3 linked regions of the Sus scrofa genome follow. The protein of the gene in region 2 binds, or shares a complex with, the protein of the main gene of each other region. Links are inferred from orthologs where the notes say so. Each region holds a gene or a part of one and is shown on either strand. Other genes may lie near its edges.

Region 1 (3,600 bases), on a different chromosome or scaffold from region 2:
AGAACTTTAAAAGCCGTCCAAGGCACAGAAGGCTGGGCTGGTAGGGGTATTGTTTATACCTCCTTATCCCCAGGGAAAGGGGTCAAGATGCAAAAAGGAGCAGCTAATTATAAATGACCACTCAACTCCCACCTAGAAAAAGCAGGCTGGATGTCAAGGGTATGCTAAGATGTAGGTGTGTGTGACGACACAAAATTACAAATACATGGCATTGCAACTGTTTCTAATTATACAAAGTACAAGTGTAATAATTCAGAACTAATTCCAATAACCAGCCTGCTTCTCTCTCCCTTCCCCCACTTCTAACCCCACCCTATACAGATACCCTCCCCAAACATGTAGTCTTCTGCTGTCCAAAAACAAAAAACAAAAAACCGGAGCCGGTAGTAAAGAGCTAAAGAGCGTAGAGATATTGCCCCCGCCAGCGTATAAACGGGCCCAGGGGTAACTAGGGTACTGCTTTCCCAAAAGGAAACAAACCTGGCACACATGTGAAATAGATCCTCTAACTTGAGTTTACCAGGTGGCATCAGCTCGGCTACGCGATTTGGGCTGGAAATGTGAAAACTGCAAATCAGCTGTGGGTTCGGTAAAAACTCACAGCATCAGCGGTGTAGCAGCGCGAGGGACCGGGAGAGAGGATGCGGTGAAGTTACGCCCATTTATTCTGCCATAAAACATTTTCTATCTTGGGTGAAACGCTGTAGCGTTCAAGTGTAGTGTATCAGAGCTTCCAAGCGAGAACTGAAGCCGAGAGCTGCTCTCTAATCAGCCTCAGCTCCCAATGTCCTCTTAGGGTTAATACATATTTATACATTTAAAACTCCAAGATCTGGGACATTCCTAACCTTTTCTCCTACTACCGATAGGAGATAAGCTGGTGCAAACACGTCCCATTCTCCCCGCGAGTTCCTTCGTGTTAAGAACTCCCCTGCCGCCCCCCTCCCCCAGTGCGAACGTGGCTTTCAACTCCAAGAGGAGCCTCGGGTGCGAACGTGGATGCGCTGAGTTGAAAGAACCTAGGTGGGCATCCTCCAGGCACTGGCGAGAGAATTCGCCATGAAATGCCCTCCCCCGCACCTCCCCCTCCCCTTGCCCGCGGCTTCCAGCCTAGCTGCGAAGTCATAATCCCAGGGGTGCAAGCCCCCACCCACGTCGCGCTGCGATCCGGAGGGAGTGCCCCTCTGCCAACATTACTGCCAAGAGCACCCCTTTTAGAGCGACGCTAGTTTTCCGAAGCCACCCCCGGCTCCGCGATCGCTAGCGGACTTGGCGGCTTAACAGTTCCACGGATTGGAAGGAAGGAAGGAAGCCAGGATAAAAAGGAGGGGGAAGGAAGGCGGGCAGGAATTGGCTGTCGGACCTGGGGACTGGCCCCCGCGTGTCCTCGCCCAGCCCGCCCCCCCTCCGTCCCGGATCTGGGCGTCCGTTCAAAGTCTCCCGGCTGTGGCCAGAGGCACCTGCCCCTAGCTCTGGCCGAGAGCAGACGCTACCCGCTCGGGCGGGGAGCCCCAGGCTGCCTCTCGCCAGCCTCGACTATTCACCCAGAGGAGGCAAGAACACCATTCATAAGACCTGCAGCTTCCCAGTCTCCAAATCAACCCCAAGTTAACCCGAGTCGTTAATTTATTACAGGCAGTTCCCCACAAACAACACCCGGAGACACACCGGCGACCGCCCGAAGCGCAGTCAAGCTCTGGGGGCTGCCCCGTCAGGAAAGCCCCGGGCAACCACCTGGGCCCCAGGGCTCCCGGGACCCGGTGCTCCCCCTGCGGTCCTCCCAACTCCGGAAGGTTTGCACAAACTCCCCGCAAGCGATCAGAAGGCGGAGAGCGCCCTGAAAACTCCGGAGCTGCAGCGGTCCGCTCACCCCCGCCGACCTAGCATCGGGGCGGGGGCTGCGGGCTCCAGAAGCACCGGGCTCAGCCAAGTGCACCCAGGCGGCCCCAGCCTGGCTCTCGCCCCCAGCTGAGCCGCCCCCCGCGCCGCGCTCACCGCCCGGAGAAGCTGGGCACTCTGGGGACCGTGCTGTCCCTGAGCTGCCCAGGATCCCCTCGCTGTAGAGCACTCGAGCGCCTGGCTCCCCTGCCAGTAACCCCTCTCCCTCAGTCCGCCAATTTAGAAGAACACAAATGTACCAATTTTCCTCTTCTTAATTGCCTCTCCTGACATTTCTGCGCGCCCGGGTTAAAAAAAAAAAAAAAATGAAGAAGTAAGAGCTGAAAGAAAAGAGAGAAGCCCCACCGCGGCTGTAGGCGCCTGCAAGCGCAGTGCATTGGCAGCGCTCGGCACGCAGAAGGCGCCTTTTTTTTCATATTGAAACCACGAGGAAAATGTACATTTTTTAGTCTTACTTACGCTTTCAGGGGGTTGTGAATGACAGTCGCCATTTTGCTACAATGTAACAGAATATTGTCTGTCTCAGAGTTCTAAAGGTTCGCTCAGGGGAAGCGGCGAGCCAATCAGAGCACGGGATACCGGCCCGCTGGCCAATCGGCGCGGCTGGTCGCCAGGTGGGCGGGGCCTGCACGGTGGTAGTTATTAGGGGAGCTGTCAAAGCCCAGAGGTCACTCCCTTTTGTAGAGCCCGAGAGCAAGCAGGTCTTAAAGGGGCAGTACCGCGCGTAGAGCTCCTTTTCGGATGAGGGAAAGTGGAGACGCACGAGAGTATTCTAGTTTGGTTTGAATCCTTACTTTCTAAACAACTGCAGAGAGTTGCGCTCCTGGACAGAAATATTTAAGTCCTGGACAGAAAATATTTAAGTATTGCAAGCAAACCGTTGAACCCTATTCATTAGCTTTTGGCTTTACTGTTACGTTTTTAATCCCCCAAAGGACAATTCCCCTCGTTCCAGTGCAAAAATTGGAAGGGTGCCGTTTCGTCTAATTACTACACGTGTCCTGCCGCTTACTAATGCTCTGGGTCCTGCGGCTTTTTAATATTCTCATTCCTGAAGTGTTGTCTTTATCTCGGCCACCTTCCTCTGATTTCTTGGAACTGGTGCCGCCGTTCCTGGCGACTCCAGGACAGCAACTCCCCTCCCCCTGGAATGTCTCAATGTCAGGCTCGTTCCCTCCAGCAGCCAGGCTTTCCTTACTTAATACGCGGTGGTCACTCAGGCAATTGCCCACTGCCACCTCCTCTGTCCTCGCACAAACCAGAAACTTCGGAAATTAAATGGTCAGAGAGCTGGAGAGCCAACTGGGGCCTGGCGCTCTGACCTTTAGGCTTAGGGGAGGGGTGGTTTAAGAGAACTTTTGCAAACGCTTTCTGCTCTTCGGAAAGAGTAACGAGACAAAGTTGTGGAACCTAGATGGGTGTTGCCAGAGTCCCTTTCGGGGAGTAGCATACGCGATTCCGGCGTCACCTTTCATTGATTAGATAAAAAGGTGAAAAGAATTTGCTAATGAATAATCAGATGTGACCTGAGGCGTTCAGAGAATGTGTCTGCTTCAAGTCCGTGCGAACTCCTCACTGGCGAAGCCCTGACAAAACTGAGAGACTTCTGTGAAGCCAGGCTTCCACTGAGGAGCCAGGCAGCTCAGGGTGGATGAAATCGCACTAAATCATGAATAGGGGCCTCGTTAGCATACAGAAATC
Region 2 (2,704 bases):
TTTCTACAGCTTTGGGGTCGAGGGACCTCACAACACATCACAGGCACAAACTGCTAAGCCTTACCTACAATTTCAGGCAGGGGCGCAGGTCCCTGAGCCCCGCAGAGGACCCCAAGACACGCAGCTCTAAAATGGAAGGGCTCAGGGGCCCGGATGTCAGGGGTCTCCCTGGGAAACCTCAGTGCCTACCCAAGTTGGGAGAGAAGTTCTCAGCTGCTGGGGCGCACTGTGCCTCTGTCCCCTCCCCACTCTTCTCACTGCCTATAACGCCCTGGGAAAAGACAGCGGTCGGTCGGCTCACCTGAGCTGTCGGTCCTGGGGTGCTTAGGTGCAGCCTCTCCTGAGGCCCGAAGCCCGGCCCACCCCAAGCCCCACCCCTCGCGCAGGCCCCGCCCCTGGGCCGGGCCCTCGGTTCCGTCCCGCCCCTGACGCCGCATCCCCTTCGCCAACTCCCATTTCCAGCCCCGACTCTTGCTCCTCGCTGGGGATTTCATTGAGGGGCTCTACCCGGTTCTCGCTGCGCGATCCTCCCTGGATTGCGGCCCCTTTGAAACCTGAGGCGTTCGTGGCTCCTGCCGCACTGCCCCCGCCCTCAGACCTTGCCCTGGCGTCCACCGTGCGATGCCACACCGCGGATTTAGGTGTGGCCCTCCCCTCTTCTCCCTCCAGAACCCTGACCCCACTGCCCACCCCTAAAGAGGCCAAACTTCCTTTTTCTTAAAACGTTTTTACTCCGTTCGACAACGCAATCTAAGAGGACGAGCGGGAAGGGGAAGAAAAGGGGGCGGTGGGAGCGTTGGGAGCTTGCGGTGCCGAGGCGGGGAGGCGGGGGGGGGGGCGGGAAGAACGGGGGCGGGGGTTAACCCTCTCCTTCCTTTCGCGTCCCCTCCCCCACTGCTGCAGGCAGGCCTGTGGGTGAGGAGGGGGCGCCCTCAGGGGCACTTCCGCTCCACGCACTGCTTCCCGCCCTCCTCATATTCCTGCTTGGAGATCCACATTTGCTGGAAAGTGCCCTGGGTCGGGGGACGACACTGGCGGTCAGGGAGGCCCTGAAGGAAGAGAGAAGCGCCTCCCCACACTCCACGCGTGCAGGCTCGACGCCCCGGAACCCTCCTCCGGGCCTCCCTGCCTCTCAATCCCACATCCCTCCCGCGACCACCAGCCTGCCCCATCTTCCAGTCCACCCCTTCGTAGTCAGAGGGCGAACACCCGCTGCCTGTCGTTCAATCCAGGATTCATTCATTCAACAAGCATCTACTGAGCACCTGTTCAATAGCTGTTTCCCAGCTGGGAGGTGGTGCTTACAGACCCTGGCCAGTGGCCAACGCTCCATACCTCTTCTTCTCCAGGTACCCTATAGGGCCTAACAAACATGTCAAGTCTCCCTACTTCCCAAGAAAATCTTCTCTCCACGCGCCTCACCAATGGACATCACCTAACATCAGGATGGGGCTGTCTTTACTCCCAAGTGGCCCCCGCCCCCCTTGAAACCTGCTCCTTGAGAGTCTCTGGTCCTGGGCATTTCAGGCTGTACCCACTCTTTCATGGTTTCTCTGCCTCTGCCTGCAAGTGTGTGTGTGTGTGTGTGTGTGTGTGTGTGTGTGTGTGTGTGTGTGTGTGTGTGGCTCTGCTTCTGTCCTGGGCATTTCAGGCTGTACCCACTCTTTCATGGTTTCTCTGCCTCTGCCTGCAAGTGTGTGTGTGTGTGTGTGTGTGTGTGTGTGTGTGTGTGTGTGTGTGTGTGTGTGTGTGTGTGTGTGTGTGGCTCTGCTTCTGTCCTGGGCATTTCAGGCTGTACCCACTCTTTCATGGTTTCTCTGCCTCTGCCTGCAAGTGTGTGTGTGTGTGTGTGTGTGTGTGTGTGTGTGTGTGTGTGTGTGTGTGGCTCTGCTTCTGTCCTGTGGCTCAAAGAACACGCCTTCCTGGACCATGTCATCTGCTAGGGTTTGCTCCTGCTCCTGTGCCAAAGCTCCACCCTTCCCACCATCTCTGGTTCCCAGTTTGGATCTCCATGCTGAGCTCCAGACCCTAATACTCAGATGTCTTTTGGACACCTCCTCCTTAGTGTCCCAAGGGACCTCACCCTGGACATGTCCACAGCTGCATTCACCATCTTCACCCACGCCTGCCCCAAACCTGCTTCTTTGACCTTTCTCACCTTCCACAGTTGCCCTGTCCAAACCCAGGGGTCCCTTGCCACACTGAACACTTGAAATTGAGCTACCGAGCACTCGAAGTGTGGCTAGTCCTGTCAAATACGCACCAGATATGGAAGACTAAGTCCAGAAAAAAGAATGTAAGGCACCTCCATTTTTATATTGATGATATTTAAATTATATTTTTGATGTATTGGATTCAATACTATATATATATATATATATATATATTTGGGGGGGGCATGCCTGTGGCATGCAGAAGTTCTCAGGCCAGGGGTTGAACCTGCACCATAGCCCTGACCCAAGCCACAGCAGTGACGATACCAGATCCTTAATCCACTGAGCCAGTAGGAGAACTCCAAATACAATATATATATATATATACTTTTTCTTTTTAGAGCAGCTCCTGCAGCATATGTAAGTTCCCAGGCTAGGGGTCAAACTGGAGCTGCAGCTGCCAGCCTACACTACAGCCATAGCAATGAGATCCGAGCCACATGTGTGACCTATGCAGCAGCTTGTGGCATACTATCCTCATGGGTACTAGT
Region 3 (3,727 bases), on a different chromosome or scaffold from region 2:
GGCCTTGCGAGTGCCGAGCAGGAACATGAAGTGGAGGATGGTGAGGGCCTGTCCACCAGCTTGGTCATGCGTCCCCGCCAGCCTGTTCTGTGCTCACCCCAGCCCCATTCTTATTTTTACACCACTTTGATGAAACAGAACAGGACTTGTTGCCTTTTATTTAAAAAGTGTTGCTTGCCCTGCCTGGGGTTCCTATACAAAAACAAAACACAACCCAAAACAAGGCCTCTTCCTGACCAGAGACGGGCAGCGGGGACTGGGGCTCAGCAAACGGAATGTGTACCCGGGGGTGGGTGGGGGGCGACTGAGAGGCCCCTACCCCATGCTCCTCAGGCAGCCGGGCTGCCTCTCCTCATGCCCTCCTCCCAGAAGACAGGAGAGGTGGGCGGTCCAATCTTCACATGCTCCGTGGGAGCCATGCACCACCGGGTGGTTACCAGGCCGGAGCAGTATTGGCCAGACGCCTCATCCGCCTGCGGAGGGGAGAGAGAGTGACCTGGGGCAGATGCTGTCCCCACGACCCCATGGGGAGCCGGGGTGGGGGGTGGAGACAGGACATGGCAGGTGGGAGCCCAGCCCCTGCCCTTGCCTGGGCCTGTCTGATGCTTGGGGCCTGAAGCTGCCCCCTGCCCTGTCCACCTCTCCAGGGGTCCTGGAACCCAGTCTGGGATGAGGTCAGGCCCCATCTGAGGGCTCACTCATTCCCTGAAGGGCTAGATCGGGACTCATCACCCAGGGGCCTGCCAGGTCTCAGGAAAGGCAATGGTCCTGCGCTGCCTGGGAAGAGGGCTGGGGGGGCACCTTGTGTTCCTGTCCTGGTCGCGGATCTTCTTTTCCATCTCGGCATCTGTCAGGGTCTCCAGCAGCGGGCACCACTGGTCAGCATCGCCTGTGTTCCGGATGGCAATCTCCACCGTGGGCAGGGGGTTCTCACTGTGGAAGGTGGGAAGGAGGCAGATCATGGAGCAGCGGCCAGAGAGGCCCCAGAAACCACCATCCACCCCCGCCCACCAGCACATGGACCAGAACCTCAGGGCAGAGCCACTGGGGCCACTTGGCCCTTCCCTTCCCTCCGCAGCACCAATACCGCTGGCCCACCACCCAGTGGATTTCTCCTTGAAGTGGCTCTCGGCAGGCACTCTGCTGCCACCATAGTATCTCCAGGCCAAAGACTAGGGCAGGGTCCACAGAACAGTGTGGCAGGGCCAGCCATTACCACTGGACCTGTGGGGAGCAGGAGGGGGGCCTACCCGCTCAGTGTCCAGGAGAAAGAGGAAAGCAGAGTCTGCAGGGGGGTTGGATGCTGCTCACTGAGGCCAGCTCCTCAGCCTGCTTCACAGGGGCCCAAACCCATGACCTCTGACCACTGCATCCTAGGTCCCTTAGCAACTGTCCCCCGACTCCACCCAAAGGCCACTGCACACCCTCTGGTGAGTGGATTTAGCTGGGGGTGGGGCACTACAAAGGCCTGGAGGGCACCTGGCTGAGCTGCCGCCCTGATCGGAACCCCAGGGTGGTGAAAAGTGAAGAGGTCCAGAGATCACGGGCCAAGAGAGCCAACCCCCCGGCTCACCCCCTCCTGCAGCGCTGCCCAAGCCTGGACCTCTCCCACCCTGGCCTGTGCCCCGTAGCTTGGCCCCTTGAAGGCCCATCAGGAGTTGGCCCACCCAGAGCCCTGCAGAGTCAACTCGGTGGCGGGGGAGAGGGGGCAGTGAATGATGGCCCTTGGCCTTGGTTTTGACACCTCATCTGGAAAATGGGGACGATGTCCTTGCTGTGAGGGATTTCACAAGATTGTGATTACTAAACATCCCATGTATACCCACTGTGTATGTTGGGGCCAGGGGCCCACTCACAGCCTTCCTGTGTCCACGGTTGGAGGAGAGTCTGCCTGGGGTCCTGGGGACCTCGAGTGCTTGGGACACAGCTCGGAGCTGTCCTGCCCCCGCAGAGCAGGGCTCACCTCTTGCTGCCACAGTGTGGCCTGTTGGGTCCATGCCCACAATGCCCAGGGCTCAAACCTGTGCTGTAACTCAGAGGCCAGGGGCCAGGCCGCCCTACTCTGCAGCTCCTGACAGCTGTTCCCCAGCCAGGCAGCAGTTTGGCGATCAAGAAACCACCCAGCCACAGACTCAAACATCATTCCTCACCTCCGGGGCTCCCAGCTGCCTTCCGAGGAAGAGCAGACATGAAAGTTGCCAAGGCCACGCCGAGGGGAACAAAATATGTTTTCTTCTTAATTTAAACAAGGGCCTGGAGGCCCCTGTGTTTACTTCCCCAGTGTATTCCACCCCAGTGGGTCTGTTCTAAAGTAAGAACTGTTCAGACCAGGCATGAGAGGACGGGCCTGAGCCAGCAGGCCCCATGGGTATGGGGGGACACATGGGCAGAGAGCCGCCCAGCCTACAAGGGGGTTCTGCTCCCCGGGCCTCGAGGCACCTGGGACCCCGATATTCCTACCAGCCAAGGTGTCCAAGCAGGGAGGCTGTGGCTGGGAGAGAACGGGGAGGTCATCTTCAATGTGATCTTACTTTTATGACCTCATGAGGTGCGATGGACCAGCTGAAGAGCCTGTTCACCGTGCCTACTTCATAGGTGAGAACGAGACTGCAGGGGCCTCTTGCCCAAGCTCTGCGGCCAGTTAGGAGGTGACAAGACTCGACACCACCCTCCTGTTTATGGCAAACTGACTTTGGATAAGGAGCTAAGCCCACTCAATGGGGGAAGGGCCGTCTTTCCAGCAAAGGGTGCTAGGGTGAGACCCTGGACCAGGCAACACAAGCAATGGAAGAATACATGATTAAACTGAGTATCATCAAAACCAAAAACTTGTGCTTCAAAGGATAGAGTCATGAAAGTGATAAACAACCCATGAAATGGGAGAAGATATTTGCAAATCAAGTATGTGATATGGAACTTGCATTGAGGATATATAATGAATTCCCACAACTCAATAATAAACAAACTTAGAGCCCAACTAAAAACCAAAGGACTGGAATAGCCTTATTTTCCAAAGAAGATACATAGATGGTTAACGGCCCATTATGAGATGCTCGACATCATTAGCCGTCAGGGAAATGCAGATCCACACCACACTGACACGCCATGTCACTCCCACGAGGGTGGCCAGGATCTAAAAGTCAGAAAGGTGAGCGAGGATGTGGAGAAACAGGAACCCTCACTCAGGGGCTGGGCATGTAAAACAGTGCTGCTGCTTTGAGAACAACAGTTGGGCAGTTCCTCCAAATGCTAAAGAGCGTGACCACACGACCCAGGAATTCCACCCCTAGGTACCTGCCCAGGAGAACTGAAAATAGCTGTTCAAACAAAAACCTGTGCATGAATGTTCACAGCAGCACTATCATTTACAGCCTAAAAGTTGAAACCACCCAAGTGCCCATCATCTGATAACCAGGTAAATAAAACATGGCCTGACTATATGATGGACTATTACTCAGCCATGAAAAGGAATGAAGTTCTGATACAGGCTCCACATGGACAAACCTTGAAAACATTTATGCTAAGAAGCCAGCCCCCAAATCATACATTATATGACTCTATTTATATTGAGTGTCCTGAGCAAGCAGACCTACTGACAGGAAGCAGACTGGAGGTTGCCCAGGGCTGCACAACCCTGTGAACATCCAGAAAACCCCAGAGTCGCCCATTCTAGATGGGTCATTTGAAGGGTTGATGGATTCTGCTTCAATAAAGCGCATACAAAAAC

What was found.
Region 1: ACTL6B (region 2) and DPF3 share a complex: the UniProt entries of both Homo sapiens proteins name them as parts of the BAF complex. The link is inferred for Sus scrofa from reciprocal best matches to the Homo sapiens genes ACTL6B and DPF3.
Region 3: ACTL6B (region 2) and SMARCB1 share a complex: the UniProt entries of both Homo sapiens proteins name them as parts of the BAF complex. The link is inferred for Sus scrofa from reciprocal best matches to the Homo sapiens genes ACTL6B and SMARCB1.

The regions. Positions count from the first base shown.
Region 1 is NC_010449.5:96,251,901-96,255,500, forward strand, and holds the start of DPF3 (zinc finger protein DPF3), read right to left. Parts: upstream 2,455-3,600; 5' UTR 2,391-2,454; coding exon 2,359-2,390; intron 2,206-2,358; exon of another isoform or gene 1,636-2,205; intron 1,024-1,635; exon of another isoform or gene 938-1,023; intron 1-937. UniProt on the Homo sapiens protein: Belongs to the neuron-specific chromatin remodeling complex (nBAF complex).
Region 2 is NC_010445.4:8,553,611-8,556,314, forward strand, and holds the end of ACTL6B (actin-like protein 6B), read right to left. Parts: intron 1,050-2,704; coding exon 933-1,049; 3' UTR 712-932; downstream 1-711. UniProt on the Homo sapiens protein: Involved in transcriptional activation and repression of select genes by chromatin remodeling (alteration of DNA-nucleosome topology).
Region 3 is NC_010456.5:49,874,856-49,878,582, forward strand, and holds the end of SMARCB1 (SWI/SNF-related matrix-associated actin-dependent regulator of chromatin subfamily B member 1), read right to left. Parts: intron 3,134-3,727; exon of another isoform or gene 934-3,133; coding exon 802-933; intron 474-801; coding exon 434-473; 3' UTR 126-433; downstream 1-125.